Arabidopsis thaliana: one gene and its partners. The protein of the gene in region 2 interacts with the protein of the main gene of each other region in a pairwise test. Each region holds a gene or a part of one and is shown on either strand. Other genes may lie near its edges.

Evidence for each region.
Region 1: the proteins of AT5G07475 (region 2) and AT1G65720 interact in a protein complementation assay, tested with the Arabidopsis thaliana proteins (one large-scale study listed by BioGRID).
Region 3: the proteins of AT5G07475 (region 2) and LPAT2 interact in a protein complementation assay, tested with the Arabidopsis thaliana proteins (one large-scale study listed by BioGRID).

The regions. Positions count from the first base shown.
Region 1 is NC_003070.9:24,435,330-24,446,096, forward strand, and holds AT1G65720 (uncharacterized protein), read right to left. Parts: upstream 5,745-10,767; 5' UTR 5,685-5,744; coding exon 5,142-5,684; 3' UTR 4,323-5,141; downstream 1-4,322. Other genes in the region: LSM8 (Small nuclear ribonucleoprotein family protein), read right to left, coding at 201-275, 369-409, 505-541; AT1G65710 (serine/arginine repetitive matrix-like protein), read right to left, coding at 1,728-3,095; YSL7 (YELLOW STRIPE like 7), read left to right, coding at 7,310-7,688, 8,940-9,201, 9,289-9,613, 9,693-10,767.
Region 2 is NC_003076.8:2,361,800-2,367,592, forward strand, and holds AT5G07475 (Cupredoxin superfamily protein), read right to left. Parts: upstream 3,807-5,793; 5' UTR 3,738-3,806; coding exon 3,560-3,737; intron 3,429-3,559; coding exon 3,028-3,428; 3' UTR 2,907-3,027; downstream 1-2,906. Other genes in the region: PMSR2 (peptidemethionine sulfoxide reductase 2), read right to left, coding at 1-86; PMSR3 (peptidemethionine sulfoxide reductase 3), read right to left, coding at 961-1,212, 2,131-2,487; KUOX1 (KAR-UP oxidoreductase 1), read left to right, coding at 5,368-5,598.
Region 3 is NC_003074.8:21,340,630-21,353,693, reverse strand, and holds LPAT2 (lysophosphatidyl acyltransferase 2), read right to left. Parts: upstream 4,312-13,064; 5' UTR 3,944-4,311; coding exon 3,866-3,943; intron 3,499-3,865; coding exon 3,376-3,498; intron 3,267-3,375; coding exon 3,227-3,266; intron 3,113-3,226; coding exon 3,039-3,112; intron 2,744-3,038; coding exon 2,684-2,743; intron 2,464-2,683; coding exon 2,386-2,463; intron 2,226-2,385; coding exon 2,067-2,225; intron 1,861-2,066; coding exon 1,735-1,860; intron 1,492-1,734; coding exon 1,399-1,491; intron 1,267-1,398; coding exon 1,180-1,266; intron 1,107-1,179; coding exon 855-1,106; 3' UTR 501-854; downstream 1-500. Other genes in the region: AT3G57640 (Protein kinase superfamily protein), read left to right, coding at 7,703-8,773; AT3G57630 (exostosin family protein), read left to right, coding at 10,614-10,955, 11,034-11,127, 11,226-11,412, 11,503-11,758, 11,867-12,082, 12,181-12,267, 12,373-12,507, 12,592-12,705 and 1 more. UniProt on the Arabidopsis thaliana protein: Converts lysophosphatidic acid (LPA) into phosphatidic acid by incorporating acyl moiety at the 2 position. Has preference for C-18-CoA substrates compared to C-16-CoA substrates. Required for female but not male gametophyte development.

The DNA of each region.
Region 1 (10,767 bases), on a different chromosome or scaffold from region 2:
TTTATGCGATCACTACAAACAAAATATGGAGACATCGAGAACTCTGCTACATCATAGCCACTCATGGATACAAACCAACAAGGTTTTGCAGGTCATACACTGGCCAATTTACTTGCAGAAAAATGTATTTGCACCCATTCAATTTAGTAACATCGAAAAGTTCAGATGAAAATACTTTAAAACAGGAATCAGAAGCTAACCTTTGTGGAAAACACACGTTCATGAGATTCATCAAGGATTATATTTGTAGCCTGGTCAAAACCTTTAAGAACTCCCTGAAAAAATATAAAAATCGATCTCTTTACTAAGATACTTGCATTGACATAAGGAGTTCTAAACCAGATATCACACAAGAGAGTATAACATACCACAATGTTGCGTCCGTCATTTGTAATCACCGAAATAATCTCTGCAGCAACCAATCAAAAGATAAGATCTTTAGACAATTCATGTGACAGAACATCACATATCAATCGAGAATGGCAAAAAAAAAGACTAACTTACGATCGACGAGAGTCTCAAGTCCAGTAGTTGCCGCCATGTTACAGTTCGGAAATTATTTGAACTGAAAGGTTACTAAAAATTAGACTAGGAATTTCATCGAACACTTGGTGTGCTTACGGATAACAATGAAAAATTAATAGATTTCGTATCCATCTCAACGAGAGATTTCACCAAACTTAACATAAATCCAGAATTACGAGAAACAAATGATAATTCCAGTGTAATTTGACCTAAATTAAAAGAAACCACCGAATAGAAAACGAATGTAAAACAGGTTCTGGTTCACCGGAGGGTTTCAAGGAATTCAGAAGAAGAAACGTATGAGGGAAAAGCTCTAACCTTTGCTGCTTCGGAATCTGAAAATCGTTACTTGGCGGAGATTCTGATTGGTAAAGAAACCCTAAAAACCTTTTCGTCACTGTTGTTCTTAGAAAACTCTCCGGCGTGTGTTTTTGCTTTTGGATGTTGCTTTTAACTACGAAATGTTAAAAGAAATACTCAAACCGAACCGAACATTTTATCCGGTTTAGTTATTTTATCCGAAACCGACAATTCTGAAAATTTTCACCTGAACCGAACTGTTTAATCCACCAAGTATGCATGGTTCGGGGTTCAGATCGGATTCAGTTTAGATTTTTTGGATTCATCCGATACAAAAATTTAGTATATATTTGGGTTCTATGATTATTTGGTTCGGTTTTTGGAAAAAACTACATATTTTTTCAAAATTTTAATAAAAATTGAATTACAAAAAATATATAATTTTGTCATTTAGTTTAGGTATAATACTAAGAATTTTCGGATATTTTGGATATATATAATATATCTAAGATATTTTTGGATATTTTTGTTAATTGGTTAAGGTATAATTATAATTTAAAACATCTAATAATTTTGAATATGTAGATATTGTTTCGATTTTTCAGATATACTGTTTGGTTTTTGTTTCTGTTCGGGTTCAGTTGGGATAATTCGTGTAAAATTATTTAAAAGTCTCTCCGGTTATATGATTATTTGGTTTGGTTTCGGGTCCGATACAGGTTTTTTGGGTTTTATGCCAGACTGAAGATAAGAAGAAGATTCATTGAAATTGTCAAATTGACATCTGAATTACAAAATAAACCAAACAAAGGAAACAACAATAGACAAACAAAACAACAATTTCTCCATATTAAACCGCAACAACACGAGTTTCTGTTATTGCTAAAAGTGAATCTCCCTAGTCACGTAACATTGTTGCTACCAGATGATTCCTCCAACGAACCACCACCTCTCTTCACAGTCACATACTTCTCAAAACTCGGTTCCATAAGATCGGCTTTCTTCACCGTCGATGTGAATCTAAACCGGCTCGAATCAGACCTCAAACAAGTTCTGTTCGTCATAGAGTTAAGATCAGCCACTGCTTCAACAATTGAACAAGCTTTACTAACACACAATGGCAGCGAAATCACGCTATCATCAACACTCTTCCCATGAAAACTCTGAATATCTTTCAACAACAATGCAGTGTAATTGTTATCCTCGTTTGATACCAAATCGAAATCTCGAGATTTCCTCAACGATCTGCTTCTGCTTAACACAACTTGAGGAGCTTTCGTAAGTTCTACAACAGCAACACGACTCGGGCTTGGACCTCTACTTGTTCTTGAATTAGGTTTCACAGATTCTATCATCTTCTTAGTGTTTTGATCAATCTCTCCCAATGGATTTCTTCTATAGGGAGATTGTTCCGCCTTTCTTGAATTACTCCGGCTTAGCGAGGGAACATTATTCCCCGCTCTAGCCGGAGATTTTGACCTCGGAGACGCCGCTATTCTGCAAGCGTCTCCGATGTTTCTCTTAACCGTAATCCGTTTTACTAACGGCTCTACATTGTTACTCTTATCCGTTGCAGGAATCGTAACAAACTTTCCCGGTCTATTATTACTCGAATTTACCGAACTGCCACACGAATCAGCGTTACGAATCTCAGAACGTTTCGCCGGAGATCTACTCACTCTCCTACTACCACCGCCGCCACCGCCGACATTTCCTCTTTCTCTGCTTCCCGATCTTTCTCTTTCTCTACTCGGAGTTCGTCTTCTCCGTTCACGAGGCGAACCATGCACTCTCTCTACTCCACGGTGACGATTTCGCTGCATTCCGTCTTCCTCCGCCGCATCGCCGCCGCGGATTCTCTCGTTCTGGTCAAAATCAAAGCTTCTTTTAGAACCAGAGTATCTTCTTGTTTTAGCAGCAGAGTTGCTTCTACTTAGCTTCCCACATTGTATCAATATAGCATCAACTTCTTCTTTAGTACAGCTAGAGATTCTCACAAGCGGTGTAGAATTCGATTTCTCAGCCGCCACAGGAGAAGAAACTGGAGAATCTTTATCTGATTCTGTCTTCTTGGATCTCTCTTCATGGCTTCTTGTGTGTTTTATCACCACAACTTCTTCTTCTTCTTCTTCTTGATTCAGTTTCTCAGATTTGGGTTTTGCTTCTTCCTCCAAAGGCTCAATCACTGGTTCCATGGGTTTGATTGGATCTGAGGGTTTAACACTAGAGGGAAGAGAAGGGGAAGGTTTCTTGCTGAGACAGCAACCCATTTTGTGACAAAGAATTTTGAAGAACAGAGAGATTTTGAAGTAGAAGTGAGTCAAGAACAAGAGAGTTTTTAGGGGAATGTCTTTTGTGTAAGAAGACAAAAAGATTCAAAACTTCAAACTTTTTTGTTTGGTAATGCGATTTGTGACAGACAAAAGTTCTTTTATTTCAGAAAGTATTCGGATAGGACCCATTACTTTCTAAAATTAAGAAAAGTCGGGTGAAATTGTAAGCTTTGAAGAATAATGGGGTCAAAGTGGAATTAATTTATTTTATTAAAGATAGTAATTTTGAAATTGGAGCCGTTATACACACTGCAGTCAATGTCGTATTATCTCTGACCCTTTTTGCCTTTTTCAAAGCAAAATGGTTCTCTTCAAAAATTCTTTTAATAAGTTTTAGAATTCCAACGGTTATTTGCATGTTTGATGGTTTTGTTTGTTTACCAAAAGAATATGAGGTTACAAATTAGGATATGAAGAAATAAACATCAGTAGTTTCTATTGAAAATAAAATTTCGTTTTATGTATAAATAATTTACTGAGTTTGATTAATGATATTTGTTGTTAATCGAGTGCTTTCATTAATATTAACTCATGTGACCAAACTGAATGGTGATGTGCAAGTTTCTTCATATGTATAGTGGAGGACCCAAAAACAATTTTATTTTATTTTATCAGATAACTAAAATACTGAAAAAGAAACGATAAACAATTTCTTTTGAGGTAGTTTTTTTGAATATATATGTAGTTTTTTAAGAAAAGAGTACCAAGACAATTAGGTTCTTTTGAGGTAGTTTTTTAAGAAAAGAGTATATATGTAGAAAGCAAAATCTTGCACCATTTGTGTTGACAATCGAAAATCGGACCGATTTTGAGACATCTATAGATTCTATTACCAAGACAATTAGGTACTGGATTTTACATACATAAAACAACCTCAAATCAAATAGTAACATAACAAAGGATTGTTACAAGGCAAATAACTACTAGACTAGAGAGAATAAGGCACTTAATTGTTCCTCTGCATCCAAGACATCAACCTTTAAGCTATATACATACACAACGATGACCATTAGCAATAGAAACTAGAGACTCTCAATGCTTTGAAAGCTATGCAAATCAGAAATTAGTATCAATGAGAATCATCCACATATCCTGCGACCTACTTAAAAGGGTCTACCTACTAGGTAGTCAGAAATATAACAAGAAACAGAACAGAAACTAGACACTGCCTAAAGTTCACAATGCTTGAAAGCTATTAAACCACAAAATGGGGCAATAAGAACCATATATACAGATGACCATAAGCAATAGAACCTAGACACTCTCAATGCTCTGAAAGCTATGCAAAACTCAGATTGGGGTCAACCAGAGTCATCCCCATATCCTGCTACCTACTTAAAAAGTCTAGCTACTAGCTAGTCAGTAAGATTACAAGAAACGGAACCGAAACTAGACACTACCTTAAGTATGCAATGCTTGAAAGCTATTAAACAACAAAATGGGGCAATGAGAACCATACACACATATGACCATAAGCAATAGAAAACTAGACACTCCCAATGCTTGAAGGCTGTTCAAAACACAGATTGGTTAACGAGAATCAGACACATATCCTGCGACCTACTTAGGTTCTAGCTAATCAGTGCTTGAAAGAATGAAAGCTATTAAACCACAAAATGGGGCTATGAGAACCATACACATATCCTGCGACCAAGTTAGGTTCTAGCAAGTCAGAAAGAAAACAAGAAACAGACTTCTCGAGTCACGACCTTGGTTCCTTTGATGATCAATCCATTTAAGTATTAAGCTCCTAAACTAGTCACATTGGTATCAAAGATAATGAATAAATCCATAGGTAACATCATAATCACACTTATATATATCTAAGAAACATCAACTACAAATCGTAAAAACACTGATACTTAGAGTATAGTAAGTTTAGATAAATCCATAACAGAGACGAATTTACTTGTACGCAACAACATAGATAAGCAACAACGTAAATCATGATAATATGCAGAAACTGAAATTCACAACCTCAAATCAAGCAGCTTCCTTCACAGGAGCAGGAGCTGGAGCTGGAATCTTAACATAACCCAATTTCTTCAAGCTAGCAGCATCAGATTCATCATTCTCATAATCATCTTCTTCTTCCTCAAAATCATAGCTTTGACGATTCACAACAAGAGCCCAAACAAGATACATAGTAGCAGCGGTTAAAGCACCACAACCAACACCGAACAAAAGCGCGACGACGACGCTAAGAATATCTCTGGTTCGATCTCTAAACGAATTGATGTTATCAGAGATCAAAGGGAGGGAACGATCCGATTGGATCTGTGGCTTCTCGTGACGACGATTGACGAAGAAAGGAACCACGTGGTGAGGATTTAGACGACGGATTGTGAAAACGGTGACGAATCGTGTGGAGGTGAAATCGGATTCGAGGTTAGGGTTTTCTGGGGTTATTGAGAGGGAATATGAGGAGATTAGGAAGGTTTTGCAAGGACGTGCGGTGGTGATGGTGGTGATTGAGAGGAAAGCTACGACGGCGATCGCAAATCGGAGGTACGATGATGACGTCATTGTTATCGTCTTTGACTTCTTCTTCTTCTTCTGACGATTTTGAAGACAAACCTAACCCAAGAAGATTCGGTGAACGAAGAAGATTAAAAAGATTTTCTAAGATACGTGTTATTATGAAATAACCCCTCTACTTTTGTATTTGATCATATAGGTCCCTTTTATCTTCTTTTCTTATAAAAGGTGCCAAAATATTATTTAATTTTGACTTAACTATTTTAAGTCTAAATCTCATTATTTATACTCACATAAGCAAACAATAGATTTATTTCTCTATTTATCTAATTTTCAATAGGTTAATTGTTAATTGATATGAATTTTGTCCAAGTTATACAAGTTCTAATACCACAAATAGTTTGTGTAATATGTGAATAGTCTGAACCCACCTCGCATATAATCAAACTTCTAGTAGTTATAAATTCATAAGATTTTTGTTATTCTAAGCAAGTTAATGATGCATTCATGGTCAATATCAAGTTAACCATTTGTTTATTAATATAGTATAGTCAAACTTTCACATTTTATATTTATTAGTCAATATTAATAGCTAAGATTTTTTTACCTAATTATTATGGTTAGAGAATCTAAATGAAAATTCTATCTAGTCACTCATAGTCTCGTACCATAGAATAAGAGCACGACACTTTCGAATATTCCAACTTTTCTCTTATTTAAAATAATCCTCTCCTTTCTTGTAAACAAAGAGCTAGGTTAGACTTAAATTTAGCAGCGGTCACAGAGCGATAAAGGAAAAAAATGACGATCTCAAATGCCACGACATGACATGATAGAATCTTTGAGGCCAGCCATGAGCCCATGAGGATCATCCTTCGTGGCAAAGCCAGCTCACGTTTAGAGTCTTTAACAATGTAGTGAGAGAACATAAAAATGAAAATGTCAAATCGGTGTAAACGTTTGGACACATAGTTTTTATTTTTTTTGGTCTTTCCACATAAATAATTTGGTACTATTGAAAAGCGATAGAAATATTTTTTTTTTGGGAAAATTGTGGTAGAAAAAGTAAAATTCCCTTGTAATCTTTAATTATAAAAAATATTGGTTAATAGTTAAGTACTCCGAAATTAAAAGTAATTTGAAGAACAACTCACTATATAAACGACTATTGTTCTGAAATCAAATGTTCAAACAATATTTACGTGTATTTTCATTTTAATATTTTAATTCTTTTCAAAAAAACACATTTGCAACTAAAACTTAATTCTGTTAAGATTAATACAATCTACGACCCGTCATAATTGGCTCGTTTAACACGTAAACATGTCATAATCTAAATTCCAAAATCCATTTACGTATCAATTTAATTAACTCTAAATCCACACCAAAGAAAAAACTCAGATTTTACACTGTGTATACACACCACACCATAGTCCACGTGCACGTAGGTTAATTATTTATAAAAAAAACACATTTGACTTATAAATATAGAAATATTAAAACAGATTCGCTTCTCTCTCTCACTCACACAATAGAGAGAATCATTCAGTTACAAGAAAATCGTCCTCTTCTCTCGCCGATCTCTTCTCTTCAGATCCTCTCCTCTATAAAATCTCTCCCTCTCTCGTTCCCCTCCTCAGATCTGACTCAAATCAAATCAAAAACTCTCAGCTATGGAAGTCGAACGATCGAAGAAAGACGACGATCTAAACAATGGATCTAAATCCAACGAAGAAGAAGAAATCTCCGTGGAGAGAATCTTCGAAGAGAGTAACGAAATCCCACCGCCGTGGCAAAAACAGCTCACGTTCAGAGCTCTAATCGTGAGTTTCATACTCGCGATTCTCTTTACCTTTGTGGTGATGAAACTGAATCTAACGACTGGGATTATTCCGTCGCTGAATATCTCCGCCGGTTTGCTTGGTTTCTTCTTTGTTAAAAGTTGGACTAAGATTCTTAATAAAGCTGGTTTTCTTAAACAACCGTTTACACGGCAAGAGAATACTGTGATTCAGACTTGTGTCGTCGCCTCCTCCGGCATCGCCTTTAGCGGTACGTTTTTTTGTTTGTTGATGTGAACGCGTCGATGGAATTTGGTGTCGCCGTCTTTAATTTTGTTTCTATTTACGGCTAAAACTTTTTTGCTGTTAGGTCTCTATTGAAAATGACAGAGTATATACTTCTTTTTTGTGTTTATCGCTTTCTAAAAAAAAATATGAAAATTAAATAAACTATATAGTTGTTTAAAAAATATAATATGTGCAATAGTTAAAAAATTAAAACCGATCAAGTTAAAACCTAGACTAGGAAACTAATATCACACGATCTTTTTTGATAAAAATAAATGTGTATGGGTTTGATACTTCTTTGCAGTATGTCAAAATCAAGTGGATACTTCATACTTTCTTTAGTATGTCAAAATCAAAGTTGATTAGTGAGTGACGTGAGAGATTCATATCCGAGAGCAATGTGTATGACTTTTTTTTTTGTTATAAAATAAGAACCATATCTACACGGCAAGTTGATAGAGAACATGACGCGTGAGATTCGTATTTAGGTCTAAGTCAATGATGTTTTAGCATATGATTAGTTGATTACGGCACTTAATTAGGAGCTTCAACTTTTTATTTATAGTAGACTAGAATTAGCTGTTATTTTTCTGGATACTTACGTTAGAGATTATATTAACAAAAAAAAAAAAAAACTAATCCACTATCGTTTGACTTCTTACTTTGCATGGGATAAGATTGGTAAACTAAAGTGAGAATCACAATTTTTTAGAGGATAATTATGACTTTCATATTTTTAATTAAATGGTGTTGTCTTGAGAATTTAATATTTGGAACTATTTTCGAGATTTGAAACAGACATCACCACTCATCGTGTACACATACTTAATGCATGGAGAGATTGAAATTCCAAGGAAACCACTATTTTTGATTCTCACGTGATTCGTTATGACGTCAATTTTATTTTAATAAGAGTTGACTTGCTATGCCCACCATGTGTGTCAAATGGGAACCTATTTGGCACATGACCTTTAATTTCATACTATTATATAGGAACTTTAGTTTGTGGTATACGTTATGATTAGATTTTGGCTTGGTTTTTAATTTAAAGAAATCAATTCACATCTAACATGTTCACAAGATTTAATACCTACCTTAACAATATTTTGTGTTTGCTAACCATAACTAATTTTATAGTTACATGAATGAAATTTGTTTCCAATATGTTTGGTTCTCTCTTGGTGTATTTACGACCATAGTTTGGCTTAAAGATTGTGTGTTTGTGTTTGAACAGGTGGGTTTGGTAGTTATCTGTTTGGAATGAGTGATGTTGTTGCTAAACAATCTGCGGAAGCCAATACTCCGTTGAACATAAAGAATCCACATTTGGGTTGGATGATAGGATTTCTCTTTGTCGTTAGCTTTCTTGGTCTTTTCTCCGTCGTTCCTCTTCGAAAGATCATGATCGTGGACTTCAAATTGACATATCCTAGTGGTACTGCCACTGCCCATCTCATTAACAGCTTCCACACACCTCAAGGTGCCAAACTCGCAAAGTAAGAATCTTTCATCATGCCCCCATTACAATCTTTCTTTTGTCTGTTGAATATTGATCACTTTTTTTTTCTCTATGTATAACACAGGAAGCAAGTCAGAGCATTGGGCAAGTTCTTCTCATTCAGTTTCTTATGGGGTTTCTTTCAATGGTTCTTTGCTACTGGTGACGGTTGTGGTTTCGCCAACTTCCCTACATTTGGTCTCAAAGCCTATGAAAACAAATTCTACTTTGATTTCTCTGCTACATATGTTGGTGTTGGAATGATTTGTCCATATCTTATCAATGTGTCTCTTCTCATCGGAGCAATTCTCTCATGGGGTGTTATGTGGCCTCTCATTGGTGCCCAAAAAGGCAAATGGTATGCTGCTGATCTCTCATCAACCAGTCTCCATGGTCTTCAAGGCTACAGGGTACTGTGTCTCTCACTCTCTTTTCCTTCATTTCATTCAATAAGAGTTTACAATCTTAAGTTGTGTTTGATGCCCTCAGGTGTTTATAGCCATAGCTATGATCCTCGGTGATGGTCTCTACAACTTCATCAAAGTCTTAGGCCGCACTGTCTTCGGTCTATACAAGCAATTCAAGAACAAAGATGTTCTTCCTATCAACGACCATACATCAACAGCCCCTGTAACCATTTCCTACGACGACAAAAGAAGAACAGAGCTTTTCCTCAAAGACAGAATCCCATCATGGTTTGCTGTAACCGGTTACGTAGTATTGGCTATAGTCTCAATCATCACAGTTCCACATATCTTCCATCAGCTAAAATGGTACCACATTTTGATCATGTACATAATCGCCCCTGTCTTAGCCTTTTGCAACGCCTACGGTTGCGGACTCACTGACTGGTCCTTAGCTTCCACTTATGGAAAACTCGCCATTTTCACCATCGGAGCCTGGGCTGGTGCATCTAACGGAGGCGTCTTAGCTGGACTTGCAGCTTGTGGTGTCATGATGAACATTGTCTCAACAGCTTCTGATCTTATGCAAGATTTCAAAACCGGTTACATGACATTAGCCTCACCAAGATCAATGTTCTTGAGCCAAGCCATTGGAACCGCCATGGGATGTGTGATCTCTCCTTGCGTCTTCTGGCTATTCTACAAGGCGTTCCCTGACTTTGGCCAACCCGGGACCGCCTATCCCGCTCCATACGCCTTAGTCTACAGAAACATGTCTATACTCGGAGTCGAAGGATTCTCTGCTTTGCCCAAACATTGCCTCATGCTCTGCTACATATTCTTCGCAGCAGCAGTGATCGTAAACGGTATAAGGGATGCCCTTGGGCCAAAGTGGGCTCGGTTTATCCCGCTCCCAATGGCTATGGCTATACCCTTCTACCTTGGAGGTTACTTCACAATAGATATGTGTCTGGGAAGTCTCATACTGTTCATCTGGAGGAAGCTGAATAAACCAAAGGCCGATGCGTACTCTTCTGCTGTTGCTTCTGGTTTGATCTGTGGTGAAGGTATTTGGACGTTACCAAGCTCTATCCTTGCCTTGGCTGGTGTCAAGGCTCCTATTTGCATGAAGTTCTTGTCCATGGCTTCCAACAACAAGG
Region 2 (5,793 bases):
TCAGCTACTTGAGGAGGCTCCTGAGCTACCGGAGAAGGAGAAGTTTCCACTACTTGAGGTTCCTGAGTTTTCAGAGAAGAATCCATTGTTAAGTGTATTGTTTGATGATGAGACCTCGGGAAGCTCGTTTATATATATAAAGAAGCTAGTCAGAGATTAACACCTAAAAATCATCGCTAAATAGGAATATTCATATTTCAATGTAAGTAGTATTTGACACACAAGAAAAATACATTCAATCAATACTATGTGTAGCATTTATAATTTGGTCAAATTGTTAATGAATAATGGATATATTACGCGTCATTTCTTTTATTGTATATAGAAATACTGTATCAACTATCTATTTAAAAAAAAAATCCAACAACCATCATTATAATTTGGAAACATAATTCAAAAAAATTGGTTGGTCTGAAATTATTTAGATCAATTCGTATTTGAGAAAGACAATCTATAGATTGGTCAGATATAATATTGATCAAAACTTGGAAAACATGTGTTTATGAAATGACTTTTGATACCGTTCACATTTTTTTTGGGTCAATTACTCAACTAGCTAGTTCTAAGCTCTATTATATGAACTATGAAGGATGACTTAATAATAAACAATCATGCAAGTATGCAACTTGTAGGTTGGTGGGCACGTTTGTTTATGCAATCAAAACTAGAGAATCATTACTCTAATAAAGGAATGGCCCTCCAACACTCTTTTTTTTTTTTTTTTTCGTTGGCTACATTTACCATGTTGATGGCTTTTTAGATCTAGTAAGGATCGCAATGATTATTTGGTTTATGTTTATAGAGTATAACATCAATATTACAACATTGCGAATGAAATTCCAAAGAAGTAGTTACATAGCGTGTGAACAACTTAGTCAAGTTTTACACAATCTATTTGACACACAAGTCCTTTGATGCTAAGTCCTCTGTTTTCGGAGAGGGACAGAGGAAAGCAGCTTATTAGCCGTAACAGCGGATTGGGTCGTTGCAGCCTTTGGCAGTGGATTGCCCTTGGCCAAACCGCCCACCTTTTGACAGATACTGTTGATGATGCTCTTCAGCTCTGTAGAATTTCTTAGCTGGCAAGATTTCAGTCATGATCTTTCTCTCCATTTGTTGCTGGTGACGTTCAAGTGACTCACGGGCTAGTTTCTCCTGCTCGGGTGTGTAGAAGTATATTCCAGATCTGTATTGGGTTCCCACGTCATTTCCCTGATCACAGCAAAGTCATAAATCAAAGTATCAATTTAGCATGGAAGTAGGCTGCCGAGAAAACTGAGTACTTAAACTAAAATTATGATAGTAAACACAGAGAATTCAAACTCATGAGATAAACAGTCATAAGACTGGTCAGTATATGCTATTGAAAGTCAGAGAAGATGCAAATGTAAATTGTCGGAAAAAAGCATAAATAGGATTTTTTTTCATCATAATACACAAGGTTAACATCATCGAGATAGTTGTCCCGAGTTTGCAACAACAGAAATTGCTAAAACCATATAACCTAAACAGACCGCTTACGATTTGGTTTCGTACATGCGTAGAATTTGAGAATACTTCGCTATGAACCCCAACGAGATAATTTGACTATAAGCTAGTGAATTTCTCAAACAAAACTAGCAGAAACTTGCATATGATTATAGTTCTCTGCGCACAGATGCAAGACAAATGATAAGCCAAACTAACATCAATATAAACAAACATGAAATCCAATGCTAATCAATGATCATGAACAGAACAAGAAGAACCTCTCTGAAATCCGTATCTCTACCTCAATTAAAAAGGGAGCAACAGGGGAGAGATTACAGAGCTACTACATAATCTGGATCATACTAAGATCAACGACCAAAGTTACCAACTCAAGCCTCATAATTCAACAAAAATCAAGATTCAATATCATTTCCTTCCTCATATTCTACTTAGATGATCAAGGTTCCAAATTTAAAAAGTTTCAAAGTAAAGACTGGTGATGAAAATCAGAAAGCTATCAGATTTGAGAAAAATCAAGAAATCCCCAAAGCACAACAGACTCAGGCACATCCCAATAGATTCAATAATCCTAAAGACAGAATCTTTCTCAATCCCCGAACTTGAAAGGTTAAAACTTTCAACTCTTGGATCCAAAAATACCTGGCGATTCAAAGTGGTGGGATCATGCCTAGACCAGAACAAATCAAGCAGAGACTCATAGGTGCAATCGTTAAGATCATATTGAACCCTAACAACCTCCGAATGGCCTGTGGTACCAGAACAAACATCTCCGTATGAAGGATTGTCTACGGTCCCTTGGGTGTATCCAGCCTCGGTCTGAGTCACCCCTGGGACTCTCTGAAACGCCAGCTCGACACCCCAGAAACATCCAGCTCCGAATTGGGCAAACTGATTCCCCGGCGCCGGTGTGTCATCGTCATTTCCCTGAGCGATCGGAGAAGGATCCATATTGGTTTGCCCACTTGATCCCAAACCCAATCTGTTGAGTATGTTCATTGAGAAATTTCTAAAGAGAGATATGAACAGAGGAGAGGAGAGAGATGCTGCGAAACTCAAGACGTGTCTTCCGGTAACTAGCGTTTGCGTTTTGGTAGCGATCACGATTAGATAGTGATAACCACAACTTTTAATCGCAGTGAATCATCTGTGATATAGATACGGTCAAACGGTGAATTTACTACACCGAACCAGATAAAATTACCTAAAATATAAACCGATATCGGTTATTTTTTGAATTTTCCGCTATCGAATCGAACAAATACAAATTCAATGTAGTCAAAGAATCTAATTCCTTTTTTTTTATTATACATTGATTGATTAATAACTTTAAGCATAACGTTGTTTACATGTCATTTTTGTAAGAAATTTGCTGAGCAAACAAAACGAAATTTGTATAACGAACCAAAAATTTAGGTTTTAATTTGGTCATGAACTCAAACAAAAATAAAGAAATTCAACAAATAAATACTCTCACTCATTATAGGGCAAATATGAATACACATATACATGAAAACACTTATTATAGATAGTTTTTAATCAGCAAAACCATATGAATGGAAAAGCAAAAACCATAAAATATACAAAAATTCCCATGGTACCCCTCCAACCGCTGTCGCCAACAAAACGGGCGGCTGAGCTAGCGACTCCGGTCGCAGGGTTATTCTTTTTAGAAGATGGTTGAAGAATCCCTGAAGTGGCGGCTTGGGGAGATCCCACGGGAGCCTGAGATGGGCCATTGCCTTCAACATTGACTAGTAACCTCATACCGGCGAAGCAATGGAGCCTATTACCGCATACAAAGAACCGGTTTCCCGGTTTGGAAAGAGCAACGGTCGTGTTCCCGTTTGTGAACGTCCGGATCGCATCTGTTGTGTTGCAATTTTGGTAGTTGTCTTTAGCCACTTCGTATACACTATGCGTCGATGAGTATTGGAACACTTGCAAAAACATTATACACATAATTAATTAGACTAATTAGTTCATTAAGGGAAACTGTAAATTAATTTGAGTTTTTAATTATGTAGTATATATATAGTTGGATGAAGCCAACATGATCAAAGATACTTACTTAGAACATCACCAGGAGAGAATCGCTTGCCTGAAGTCCAAGACTCGAGATCGGAGCTTATGTCCCAACCGGAGCTGTCTCCTACAAAGTATGTCGTTGCGTTACATCTTCTTATTACTACAACCCCAAATATGATGCAGAGATTGAAAAGAAATTGTATCTTCGACGTCTTCTTCATAGTGCACGCTGTTTGTATTTTCTCAATAAATTGCGTTTAATTTTCTTGTATTGCTATAGTTGTCTATATGCATATGTGTGAATGGAATTATGGAAATATATATGTTTTTATATAAGGCATAGGTTAAGGTTGCTCATTGGTGGATAACCTAACTTCACAACCACCACAACATATATGATCTGCTTTGTTCCCTATAGCCTTTTTTTTGTTCTTAACAAATTTTTCGTGTTTCACAATTCATATGATTCATATGCTGTTAGTTAAAGTCCACAACCCTAAAATGGTTAAATCTTGATGGAGATATTGAAGCAGTAATTCATATTTATTTTTTGTTCTTGATTGCACAACATACAAATATAGGGAAGATTTTAATGGCCAGTAAATAATGCTTGTATTTATATATGATCTTGTGGAATGGTGATATTAGTTGTTATGTACTTTTCCTTTTCTCGAAAATACTTGCAGAGGGCTTGGAATTGGCATTGAAGGGGTGTTGAACCATAACTCCTCGACTAATCCTGAGTGTTTCTCTTTACCAAACCTACCTAATAATATGCGTCCAGAGAATTTCCCTTGTAACACTTTTTATAGTTGTTGGAGCATCAGAACTAGAACATGTATGATCGAAAAATTATACTAGATATATGGTTTAGCCTTTTGGGATAAAAAGTTAAAATATAGTCGAATTTTTAAAACATGTACAAGAAAACAATTCTTTTTGTCCTAAAATATAATTTCTAGGATGAACATTTTGTTTGCAACTTTTATTTACGTATTACGTATTTATAAATTAACTAATATACCCAACGAAAAATAGTACTAATACTGTATATCACTAGAAGCTAGGTAGTTGTATTTCGATGAAAAATCGATGTAATATTATTTCTTAATTGCTAGTTGTGTTAAATTATGATTGAAAATTCTCATTTTAATGTCAGTGACAATGTGACATCAGACATTTTTTTGTCTTTCCCAAAGGAAGATAAATGCCCATTGCATGAAGGAACCCGGCGCAATACATTTTACCTAGACCTTACGCATGACCGTATATAACAATTTCATTATTATTTTTACAGAATTGTTACAACTCAAACGACATATATATCGAATTTATCTGTACATGCATTCACATATGTGTCCAACATATTTATGAAGGCTTGAAATCCGGACAAGAGGATGCTTTTTTGCGGAAAGCTTCTTTTTGTTTTTTAGTAGTTGGGACTATGAATGAGATCGAAGTCTCCATTTAAAAATTAAATCCATGTTAGTGTTCCTACTTCCTACTATATCCCAACATCTTATTAATATCCCTCGTCATATATGAATTTGGACATTCTTATACATTTCGTACAACATATGGATGTTCATTATATTATCATTTTGATAATAAAGTTTAGTTTCTTATTGGTACACGATAAACAATTGACAGTTACACATGCTCTAGATATTCCAAAAAGGAAGAATAATAATTTAGTATTCGACCGTCATATTTTAATATATAACTCCGAAATATCAATAAACGACTACAAGCCTACAAACCTTATATATAGAGGAGCCACTCACACTTTCATTTTAGTTATCCCTTCACAATATTAACCGATTTCTCAACACTCAAATTCAAATACCAATAATGGAGAAAGGTGAGGATTCAAGCACATTCAAAATGGGGAATTCTGCACAAGAGAGGAGTTTACCGTATGTACCTGACTGTTACGTCGTCCCGCCTTCTAGCAAACCATGTGACTCAAATTCCGGAATCGTACCCACTATCGATGTTTCTCGGCTGAAAGGGGGAGATGATGAACGTCGAGGGGTTATTCAGGAGCTAAGTTTGGCATGTCAACATCTTGGTTTTTTTCAAGTAAGCTATTTTACAAGTAAATTCATATAACTTTGAGTTTTTTTCCGAAATTTTGGTTGCAAGGAAACTGCTTTTTCATCCACTTTTTGTTTCTTTTTATCAACGATATATGTAATGTAGAAGTTTGCTTACATTTGATAACCACGGATTCAACATAGTATTAACATACATATAGTTCGTGTCATTATTTAAAAT
Region 3 (13,064 bases), on a different chromosome or scaffold from region 2:
TGTTTCAGCAAGAACGGAGACAATTAGGGTTTATCAATTGATACAAGTCGGGACTTTAATCGGAGTTTGAAAACAGAGAGAAAAGCGGCGCGAGCAACCGGACTTGTGAAGGTTTTTTTTTTCTTTTGAATCGGCGTGAAAGGGTTTTAGTTTTAGGGTTGAGAAAACTAAAATAAAAATTGTGTTTATTATATTATACACTCATTAAAAAAAAAAAAATGTGTTCTATCAAAAATGGAAGAAAATAAAACCTGTTCTTTTACGATATTCTCCCTGTAATCACCGTCATACTGTAGTTGAATTTGTCTAATCTCAGTTAATTCCATGAACGGGTTTCTGTTTTTTCTTCTCAAAATGAATTTTTTTTTGTCTAATCACAATTAAGTCCCAGTAGGATTAGTCTAGTCAGATAATTTATGTACATGAATAAATTCTGTTTTTTCTTCTAAAACGTCTTGTAATAACATGTTTTGTGCCTAATAAATTCTACACTAGCAATGAGAACCAAGGAACAAAACAGTTTAATAATAAAAGGAAAATGTCTAATATCAATCCCAAATTCCAATCTAAAAATAGAAAGTTATACAAGGCCTATGCACTTGAGAAAAAAAATCCCAAGGGACTATAGGGATTAAATCGTTGATTTGATCATGACCCTATACATCAATCGACTAAGAGACATAGGCTGCGTAGTAGTAGTAGTAGTAATATAGTAGCTGAACAAAACGGAGTTGATAATATTAAGGGATTTTTCATTTGGATGTCTTTTTTTTTTGGTTTTCTGTTTCTTATAACAAAACTGACACGCGCTTCTTCTTGTTGTGTTTGATGTTTGGATCTGTGAGAACCAGTTTTTACTTCTCCTTCTCCGTTTCTGTTTGGGAGGATGATTCTGGGTGGTGATTGTCTTTTGGCTTGGCTGGGACGACTTTGGCTGGGGTCGAACGCTCTGACTGAGACGAGCGTATCAGGATCTGCATACAGAGAGTGATGATACCTAGACCAAGCGCCGATATCGTGATACCTTTCCATGAAGAAAAGAGTTGTGCCCAGTGTAGGAACTTTATTGCTCCAAGAGTTAGTACGCATGCCCATGATAGAACCACCTGAGAAAAAGATCAAGAGATTTGTGAGTTTATAGATGGAACCAAGAGAATGTTATGAATTTTATAGACTCACCGCAAGGGACTTTATGGGACGGCCAATGTTCTGTTCTTGTTGACCGGGGAAAGTGTCTGCAGCTATGTGTTTGTCTAACAGAGCATCCTGTATCACAGAGACGAGATGAGAGAATACCAAAATGAAAGCTTTTCCAAGCTTTTCTCTATCAAATCTTGACCAAATATATTATTGCCAATAACTGAAACGTGGAAATACCAGTACATCCATAATTTTTACCTTAGCCACAAACTGATCTCTGCACCACTGTGCAATTGCGTCATCTGATTCAGGTAAGTCTTTCATCGAGTGACACTTGATGTGAACATGCACCTTGAAACCAGCAGCAATGGTTTGCGTTAATGGCGCAGGAGGTTTTAAAAGAAAAAGGCTTGGGATGGGATGAGTCCTACGGTTTCTTACACATTATAAAAGTAAAGGTGATATAAAGAGTTATGTTCGTTTCAGTAAATTGGATGGTGATGTGATCCAAGCCAGTGCATACTTTGAAATTTGTTGTGAGAAGAGTGCAAGATTCAACTGCTATACGACCTATTCATATTTTTGCTTGCTTACCACTGAAGGTTGTCCTTTGAATAGTCTTAGCATCGTGGGTGGTGGAGAGGTTTTTGGAATAGTCACTGTCATATCATAAATTGCTGGGACAAATGAACGCATATTACTAACAGCTGACACGAAACCCTGAAACAAAAATACAAGCAAGTCTAGTAATTAGGGCAGAAATCACAATAACAACCACCAAGTCGATCTGATGAAAATGAAACGTATAAAGGCTACCCATGCATTGAGATTTTGGATCATCATAGCAATCATTTTGCTTTTTAAAGGACACAGAGAAGATATCAAGTTGCCCCAGGAATGAACAAAAGAAAAATATTACAACTTACTTTGGTGCGAGGAATCAACACATTTCGAGGGATAGGCAATTCAGAGGAGGCTGCATACTCTTGTGCGGCTTTAAGTTTGGCTTCTGTAAAGCGAGTTCCCTCCACAAAAAGGGCTAACCAGAAAGGTCGAGGGAAGTCGCTCAAGCGCTGAAGACCTGACTGTAAATTTAGACAAACACACATAACTCATGGTCTGGAAATGAAGATTCTGCATTTTTAGGCTAATCCCCTCATGAACGAGGTAGCTGCACGTGCTAATAAGCATTTTACACAGGAGCAAAAACTAAATGAGTTGCACAAGGATACTATAAACCCATACCTTTAGAGTGCTTTCATCCTTGGCCCAATTTCTTTCCAGAAAGAGATACTCCGAGAACCACATTGACCAGCCTATGACCTGTATGTGTGTGAAAATTCTGTTTATGAGTACTATGAATATGTAACAGATAAAAAAGGCGGAGAAGTGTATTAACCTAAAACAATGATTTTTTCTCAAACGCAAAGCCAGGTATCAAATTTCTAACTTATAGAAGAGATTCAGAAATAGAATTAAAGATTACTACTATTTTCTCTCAAATCTAGCAAGCACACAGCAGTAAGCTAAAATATTCACATACTGGAAGGAATTTGGAAGACTTCTTCATTACAGCTAATGCGCTTCCCAGGCAACCTGACCGCTGCAAGGAAAGAAAATATGAAACAATAGATTAAAAGATGTAAACAGCATAACAGGGAGCGTGTTAAGAGAAAATATGATGATGCTATACTCTCTCATATCTCATCAGATGATCACTAGGGACTGTCACCTTCTACCTAAGATAATCTTTCTTAAGTAGATACTTGGAAGCAATACATGGTCCCATTGCAAGTATACATGCTTTCTCATCAAGAAGTCTATTATGTTGATCTCCATTTATGCATTCAAACAAAAACGTAGGAAGATAGATGAAACTGTGAGGTGAAATTATGTACCTGAGCCAGAATCCATCCCACAAGCCAATCAATATCACTTCGGTGATTACAAACGACAAGAGCATGTTCTTTGCCTAGAAAAAAATAGTAGGACAGTCAATGAAGTTACAGATTCGTTCTTACATAGGAATTTTATATCTTGAAGACATCAGAAACTGATTTGATTGCCAATAAGCATATGAACTTACCCATTCGATTGAAGGTCTCATTATCAGCAAACACTTGGATCTAAGGGAAAAGAAACAAGAAATTTGAGAGGAACTCATAGAGTTAGATAAGATAAAACAAAATCCAAGCTTAACAACCATTTAGTAAAAAGGAGAAAGCTTGTGGATACCTTAACTCCAGCCCACCAGTCAACTATCCATACAAGCTCCAACCACAAGGTTTCTGCAACCACCCGGTTAATTTTTCTGTATGTGTTCTTAGACAGTGGTCGAATGAGTACATAGCAAACTGCCTGAAACAACAATATGTAGTAGTAAACATCAAAACTGAAGCAAACGAAGTTGAGAGAAAAAAAGATTCCTTCCTCGATTCAATCAACATAGAAATCAAGATAAATCTGAAGAAAGTGATACTTAATCGCAGAATCAAACAACACTCTATAGCTCAGTGCATGAGCTCCACGAGTCAATTTCGAGCTTATACTCTCATATGCACACTCAGAATTAAGACACAATCACCGACAAAAACGAAAGAATCAAAGTTTCTGGAGAAGGAAACCCTAAAAGCAGTGAATCAAAACAAAAGAAGAAAGGATCTACAATGTAGAACAACAACGGAATCTAAAAAGAGTAACACCAGAAACGAATCAGAAACCAAACCTGAAAGAGATTGACAGCGAGACCAGATATGAAGAAGAGAAGGCCCAAAGGCACGATGACAGCTGCAGCAATCACCATCCTCAAAAAATCCCACCAACAAAAGCTAATGTGAGGAGAGAGTACAAAGAAGAAAACCCAACAAATCGTTCCCCGAGATTTCCAGAAACCAATGAAGAAATATTTTACCCCAGATTTCAAGACAAGTTGCAGAAGTTTTTTAAAAGGGGAAAATAAATAACCCAACCAGAAAAAAAGAGAAAAAAAATCGCAAAATTAACTTTGCGATTTAATGGGAAAATTTTGAGAAGAGTGTTTGTAACTCTGGATTTTTATTGATTGATTGATTATATACGGAGATGATCACGAGGACACATTCGAACACGGCAGAAGCGTTTTTTCTTGTTATTTTGATTTTAGCCCCTCTATTTGTTTTCATACTTCAAAACATCTCCTATCTCTTCGACTTGGTTGGATTGGCCAACTTTGAAGTTTTGAACTATGCAATCAATGGGCAAGGAAAAAAAAAACGTCTGTCGGAAATTGATCGGTATACACTACCAAGATGTGATTACTCCTAATTTTTTAAGTTAGGATTAATTCCCTTTGCATGTGGTAAAAAGTGCTAGCTGGACTTTCCAATTAATTATAATGTTTGTATGGTAAGCTTATATATGGAAATGTAACGTCCAAATATTTCAAATCAACAGATTTATTTCAGGTGAATCCAAAAAAATTGTTACATAATTCTTAACACTCATAGACGACCACCAAAATGGTTTTACTTTTACCAATAAAATGGCCTAGTGGCGGATCTTAGAACCTTAAAGAGAATGTAATTGGAGAAAGGATTAATGTGTTACCCATACCGCTTAATATATATCCTTATTAGTCTGATATGCTACTTGTCACTAACATCGAATCCTTTGTTCATGTCTGGCCCTAGTCTGAAGGTGACTAATATACTAATATTACCGTGGATGTTTAAGTGCTCCACTTTGTTCCATATGTTTTCAATTTTTCCGTTCAATTCTTCCTCTTTTTGCTATTCTCTAGCCGATGCCTTTTGTTTTTTTGCTTGTAAATTAAAGCATGACGTCTTTGTGATTCTATTCACATGGTTTGGTATGGTTCTGATTGTTTATGTGCGGTGTAAAGTATGAGAGTCTTTCATGGTTTGTATAAATATAAACTAAATGATATTTAAGTGCACGTTTGATTCTTTAGTATTCTAATATCGAAATTTCATTTCAGTAAAGTTCAAACATTTTTTAATTTTTTTGTTATTAAATATTTGAAGTTACAAAAGTATTGTTGAAGTGGTTGATCTATCTAACCAAATTTTCTTTAAATATAATGAAGAATCAAAACAAACTAAAGAACAAGTTCATCATCTAGTTATTTTCAGCTGTACTATGCTCACCGCTTTATTCAGATTCTCCAATAAATTTTGCAGCAAAGTGGAAAAGATAACAAAAAAAACAAATAAGGGTTGTTGAGTTTTTAGTTACAATTTTCCCTACGTAAGATCATTTGCCTTAATTCACGTAACATAGCCACATGCTATCATTTCTATGTGATTGTACATATTCATAACAAATAGTTGACTGCCAGACAAAATATGTTAGAAACGTATGCATACACCTTTTTTCTTTTTACAACAATATATATGCATACACTTGACGCATCCTTAAACATATTATGATTTTTCTTTCTTTTTGTCAATGTGGACTAAATTATCCAATTTGAAAAAGAACAATGGGAATCGAACCTGAAATACTGAGGCGCCAACATTTTTACTTATAATTTTAAAAATGATTTATGTAAAACATTGCTTGTAAGTTTTAACTATAGTCTCAAAATGACACCAGAAATTATAGTTAGTAATTGCTCTGTTTTTAATTACTTTTTTCTCGGTTAGAGACTAAATCACTTATTTTGCAGATATTTTTTTGCATTGTATAACCAAACAAAAAATTTAGTTTTGTTCTAGTCTCCTAAATTGTAGCAAAGAACCAGTGGAACAATGACAAACAAAAAAAAAACAGAGAAAGCCTTAGCTTCCTAACTAGTTTTCAGGTGATGTAGAAAGAACTATGAAATTAGTCCGCAAGTCTTGTTGTGAGCTTTTTCTTGGAAGGACGACTTTGTGGGATATTCAACAACGACAGCTTGACTTTATATCTTAGCTAGTGTTCTTCGTTTTGATCAACTGAGAGTGTGTGAGGTCTTCAAGTTTTGTCATTTTATTTTTCAAAGTTAAGTGTTTCTCGATTAGTTGAGGAATAAGATATCAAGAGCTAGAGGGGGGAGATGCTGTTAGAAGATCTCATCGAACGTTGCAATGAATATAACTGAGGAGATTGCAACTGCTTTAGCTTATTTTCACACTGTTTTCCAATTCTCAAACCCTATTTCGATCTCTAAAGTGATGTCTGAATCCACTTGAGTTCCTTAAGCTACTACGATCATCTTTGGCTTGTCTTCATCTTTCTTCTCAGTGATAGTATACGCACACGCTTCCAGCGGCAATCTTTAACTAACAAAACCCATGGAAACATTGATATAACGTAAACAGGAGTCGTTTCTGCTTACATGATTCATAAACATAGCATCATGCTGATTGAGAATTCTGCAAATTATCCATCAAACTGTAGATCGCAGATGAGACACACATGACGCAGAGACAATGCCAATGCCATTTTGGCTTCAGTCTGAAACATTACCATTCAGATTTTTGCCAGAGACAAGCAAAAGTTCATATATTTACTTCACAGATTTTTACTTGTCGTATATTTTGGATGTTTTGGACTTTGAATGATAAAGAATCCTACATCATTTTAAAAACTAAACATCAAAAGTGACTAAAATTTTAAAAGTTTCACTTCTAGTTTGGCGGGTTGAGCCAGGCCCGTGCAGTAGTGCAACGCATGGGCGACTCGTGGAAGCCCAGATAGCAAGCTATCATAGCGGGCTTTCTCCCTTAAAAGATAGAGTTAATATCGTGTGAGCCGATGGCCCACATATCAGATATTAAACTGATAAGAACAGATACTACACTTGATCTTAGCCAAAAGGCCGAGAAAGGTATGATTAGAACGAATGGCTCAGCTTCTTATTTATACTACAAAGCTTATGACCAACGATCCCTAGCTTGTCGATGTGGGACTTTTAAAAAAGGGTTTAGCCAAATGTACTCTTTAGTCTTCTCTTACGCATATTTCTTCTTTAATCAATTACATATGAACTATCAATACAAAACAATGAATAAATTTGTCTTTTAATGCATCTTTGTTCTCTGTGTTCGTTGCCACTGATCACAGTCTGTGATTCACAGAACTATGTAAACCCAGAAGAAGAAAGATGGAAACTTGAGAAAGAATCTTCAAAGCAAAAACGGAGGAACTTTTTCTGCTCTGTGAATTGATGCACTGATGCTCTGACTCATATAGAATTGCGTTAAACATGGCTTCATCAATATAAGGATCCGAACTATCAATATAGTAAATCAGTTTCTCTCTTCTCTTCCAAAACGTTTATGTCTTTATACTTAAAACATAAGAGGGAGTAACGTTTCTCTGTGCTTGTCTTGAAACAGAGGAGAGTATAAGAGAGAGTAAGGGAGCTGAACAGACAAAGAGGTGAAGAATTTTCAACAACTTTTGTCTTCTTCTGCTCTAAAAGATAAACCTTTTCCAACGAAGTCTTACTCCTTAATGGTGTTTCGTTGACTTCACGTTACAACTTTTCAACACGGTGTGTGGTCTTCAACTCGTCATTCAATCTTTGGTCATTTTATCCTCAAAAGTAAAAGAAACTTTTTTTTCGTTGTTGTTTGAGATGGAGTGGTGGAAGAAGAAGAGTTTACGAGCCATAATTAAAAGGGAGAGATTGGTCCGAGGACACGAGAGAGGTGGGACATTGCTAGAAGAGATCATCAAATCTTGCAATGGCAAAGCAAATCCCATCAAAATATTCTCCGCTGATCAAATCCTAGAAGCCACCGACACTTTCAGCGAATCCAATCGTGTTTCTGAACTATTCGATGAGATTCCATACGATTGGTATTATTCAGGTAAAAACAATAACCATCATCATCATCATAAACTGTTACTCATCAAGAAATGGAGATATAGATTTAGTGAGCATAACGGAGGAAACTTTTGCCGTGACATAGCCATCTCATCGATTGTTAGTGGTCATAAAAACTTCATGCAATTGGTTGGATGTTGTCTTGAATCTGAACATCCAGTTTTGGTTTATCGTGCATCAAAGAAACCTACTAGTTTAGATCTGAAAATGGTTGTGTCATGGAGACAAAGATTGAAAATAGCAGAGGAGATTGCAACTGCTTTAGCTTATCTTCACACTGCGTTTCCAAGACCTTTCGTATATAGGATTCTGCGTTTAGAAGATATCTTATTGGATGATGAAGATGGTGTTGCTAAGTTGTGTAACTTCTCCTACTGTGTCTCTATTCCACAAGGAGAAACATTTGTGAAGCTTGGTAATGGTTGTATAGGTGGAGATTATGATTACATGGATGATAATTATTTGATTAATGGTATTGTCTCGGAGAAAACTGATGCGTTTGGATTTGGTATTTTTATGCAAAAGCTTCTGATGGGAGAAGAGAGATTTCATGAGCTTTGTTATGATCGGAGTGACTTGACAACTTTTGAAAACAGAAGAAAGTTTGCAAAATGCATTGATGAGATTGTCGATTCAAACATGTTAGAGAAAATAGGTGATGTTACAGAAGAAGAGCGTTGTCGAATGGAAGCTTTCATTGTCCTCTCGGAAAGATGCATTGGTCTTAGAGGGGAAGTTCCAAAAATGGTTGAAGTTGCCAAAGAACTAAAAAGATTCCTTAGAGATTCTTCTTCTTCTTGTGGTGAAACAAGTTTATAGATTACATATCACATACTTGTTATAGATTATATAAATGGTTTAAAAACAGATTTTCAAGGTTTAAAACAGATTAGCAAGTCCAAGTTTCATTTTTATTCTGTATAAATTTAGAAATTTTCTTTTCAAGATGTTGCATATTTTTGTAGGCTTGTAGCCACGTTTCTTCTTGTTTACAAATCGTTGACTTCACTTTTTAATTTGACATAAAAAAAAAAAAAAACTAAAACACTCCATAAAATTAATTAAAATCAGAACATATGGTAGCATCGTCCAGTAACATTACAGTATCATGCTCAGAGCAGTTTGTGCATCGCCATTACATTCAAAAGTCTCTCACGTTTTCACCACATCCCTTGAGCTGCCTCTCTCACTTTTTTTTTTTTTTTCAGTGGAATCTTTCTGTTTCAATTTAGATTCCAAATATTGACAACGATTTGTGGTGGATTGTGACAATTTAACAGATTCTAATTAGTTTTCTAATGGCTGATTGAAATAGTGGCACAATTCGTCAATTTCAATACTATTGGGGAGCGATATTAAATAAAAATTATTGTAGTACAAAAAATAAAAGTTTGAATATTCAAAGGAAAATGTAGACTTTTTTTTTTGTTGGTAGGAAGGAGAGAATGTAGACTTTTTAATTTTACGGAGTCGTCGCTGAAATCCTAACCAATGATAAAGCGCTACGTTCACGTGAGTCTGATTTTCAATTATTAACATAAAAAATAAAATAAAGATTTCTGGAAAAAGCGAACACATTGCTATCAAACGGGGCTAGATTGGTAAATTACGTAATTGTCTGTTAGAGGAGTGCGTCACCCACCACGGTCTTTCTCAAGACAATGAAACGATAACTAAAATAAAAAGGAGACACGTACTTACCGTTTTGCCCACAGCCGTCACAAATCAGATTATTTACTGGATTTGAATTAGAGATGGTACTGATCCGGTTAAACTCGGTTTGGTCAGAGTTGAAGTCTTGACTTGGTTTTGTTTGAAGAAAAGTGAAAATTGATGAGAAAACCAAAAGAAACCGGTTAAGAAGATCAAACCGGGAATGGGCGGCGAATGGTCAGAAGGTTAAGAAAGGTAGTTAAAAATGAGAGAATCGAAGCAGAGGAGGAAGATGACGCACACGAGAGAGACGACCACTTCCATAATCAATCAACAATTGCTTTCCTTCCCGGCCAGCCACAGATCTCCGTGGCCATCTCTCTCTTTCTAATTATTACAAAGAAGCATTATTATTATTATTTTAATTATATAATTATTGTATAATCAAATCTCTCTCTGTAAGTAATAATTATCGTATAAATCCTCCCCATTGTTGAGTTAATTAGTTCTTGTAAACCCATGACGTTTTCCGTCAAAGCTGGTGAGTTTTTGTCTCTCTCTCAGCTTCCTTATGTTTGTTTGAATACGTTCTGTCTCTTTCTCGTGATTCTTCTTGTAACTTGTTTAATACTAGCTCAAATGTCTGATTTGTAATCATGTAAATAATTCTTCTAAGTTTGGATCCTTTAATGTATGAAAACCCATGATTCAATGTTACTTACTCCTCTTCATTAATGTCTTCGCATTTCAACTTTGAAAACTCCATTGTTTCTCGGTCAAAGCTCACTGCTTTTTGTTTATTTATGTTTCAATAATTGCTCAATTATGGTTGTTGCCCAACCTTGTGGGTCTATCTTTCCTTTATTTCAGCTCAGTTTCTTTGACGATTCCGTAAATTCCATTACTTTGTGTTTCGTGAGCATGTGGGTTTTATGTAATCAAACTGCTTCCTTTTTCTGATTCTCAGGCGGTCAACTTTGAAAACTAACAACTTCGGATTTCCATCATGTTTTCTCACCAGAAATGGAAGTTCTCATGGTCTCAGATAGCCACTGTTGCTTCTGTCATTGTTCTCGTTTCCTTGGTTCATCTGTTTCTTGGTCCTGTAGTGCCTTCTTTTGATTCTATTACTGTAAGACAAGCTCAGAATCTTTGTGGACCAAGTAATGAATCAATCTCACAAGTGACTAAGAATTCAAGTCAATCCCTTGTTGTTGTTGCCTTTGATCGCCGCTTTCCTGCTGACTCACACGGTGCAGTAGTTTATCGTAATGCCTCGTGGAAAGCTGAGATCGGACAATGGCTTTCTAGTTGTGATGCAGTTGCTAAAGAAGTTGACATTATTGAAGTAAGTTTTTTTTTGGTATCTTGAAACAATCTTGTTTCTTTGATTTTGTTATAATGGTTGTGTTTTTTTTTTTGGTAGCCAATTGGTGGGAGAAAGTGTATGAGTGATTGTAGTGGTCAAGGTGTTTGTAACCATGAATTTGGATTATGTCGTTGCTTCCATGGATTTACAGGTTAGTGTTTATGCTATTTTAATCTTCCTAAACCCAATGTTGATTGCTTTGTAAATGATTGGTGTGTAAATGAAGCTACTTTGACCGGTTCTGTGTAGGAGAAGATTGTTCACAAAAGCTTCGTTTAGATTGCAATTATGAGAAAACACCAGAGATGCCATACGGAAAATGGGTTGTTTCGATTTGTTCCAGACATTGTGACACCACAAGAGCAATGTGCTTTTGTGGAGAAGGCACAAAATATCCAAACCGTCCAGTGCCAGAGTCATGTGGATTTCAAATCAAGTAAGTTTTACCTGATTCTTTTCTTTGACAGTCTCAAATGCTTCTCAAATCAAGATTAAAAACTCTTTAACTTAAGACATGTATTTTCAGTTCGCCGACGAATCCTGATGAACCTAAAATGACAGATTGGTCGAAACCAGACTTAGATATTCTAACAACAAACAGTAGCAAACAAGGATGGTGCAATGTGGATCCAGAAGATGCATATGCTATGAAGGTGAAAATCAAAGAGGAATGTGACTGTAAATATGATTGTCTTTGGGGACGGTTCTGCGAAATTCCAGTACAATGCACCTGCGTTAATCAGTGCTCTGGACATGGCAAATGCAGAGGAGGTTTCTGCCAGGTAAAATTGTGTATCCACAGTCACCACGCTTGACATTTTGGTACCGAGAGGTTGCATATTCATAATCTAAATTTTCCTAACTTTGTGTGTGTTTTACCGCCTTTTCAGTGTGATAAAGGCTGGTTTGGAACAGATTGTAGTATTCCATCCACTCTCTCGACGGTAGGAGAGTGGCCACAGTGGCTTCGACCAGCACATCTTGAAGTTCCAAGTGAAAAAAATGTCCCTGGTAATCTCATTAATCTGAGTGCTGTGGTGAAGAAAAAAAGGCCTCTTATATACATCTATGATCTACCCCCAGACTTCAACAGTCTACTTATTGAGGTCACAATCCAAAATTTTAGTTTTTCTTCTACAAAATGTTAAAATCACCTTTTATGATAAAGTTCTCAGTCTCCTCTGATTTAAATTTGTTGTTGCAGGGCCGGCATTTTAAATTTGAATGCGTTAATAGGATCTATGATGAGAGGAATGCAACAGTATGGACAGATTATCTATATGGTTCCCAGGTTTTCTACTAAACTTGAGTCGAATACCAGATAATTCAGCAATTTTCTCCTGAATTTGAATTGAAAGATAACTTTGCCTCTTCTTTGTCTCTTTTGATTTTGAAGATGGCATTCTACGAGAACATCTTGGCCACCGCTCATCGTACAATGAATGGAGAAGAGGCAGATTTCTTCTTTGTTCCTGTTCTGGATTCATGCATTATAAATCGTGCTGATGATGCACCTCACATTAACATGCAGGTTGGGTCGAGAAACTCACCTTTTGATTCTCTGCTTGTAGAAGCTTTAGAGCTCATATATTGTATATGTTTTTATTACTTTCAGAATCATACTGGATTAAGAAGCTCACTTACCTTAGAGTTCTACAAAAGGGCTTATGAACACATTGTTGAGAAATATCCATACTGGAACCGCTCAGCTGGAAGAGACCATATTTGGGTATGATGATGCATACATACTTAGAGCTTGTTTCTTGATTTCTTACACAGATCACTCCACACTAATGTGGCTAATCTTTTTACGCCTGAAAAAGGCAGTTTTTCTCATGGGATGAAGGTGCTTGCTATGCTCCTAAAGAGATATGGAATAGCATGATGCTAGTTCACTGGGGTAACACAAACTCTAAGCACAACCATTCAACAACAGCTTATTTTGGTGATAACTGGGATGATATATCTGATGAGAGGAGAGGAGATCATCCTTGCTTTGACCCCCGCAAAGATCTCGTGATTCCAGCCTGGAAAGTTCCTGACCCTTACTCAATGCGCAAAAATTACTGGGAAAGGTATATTCTCTGA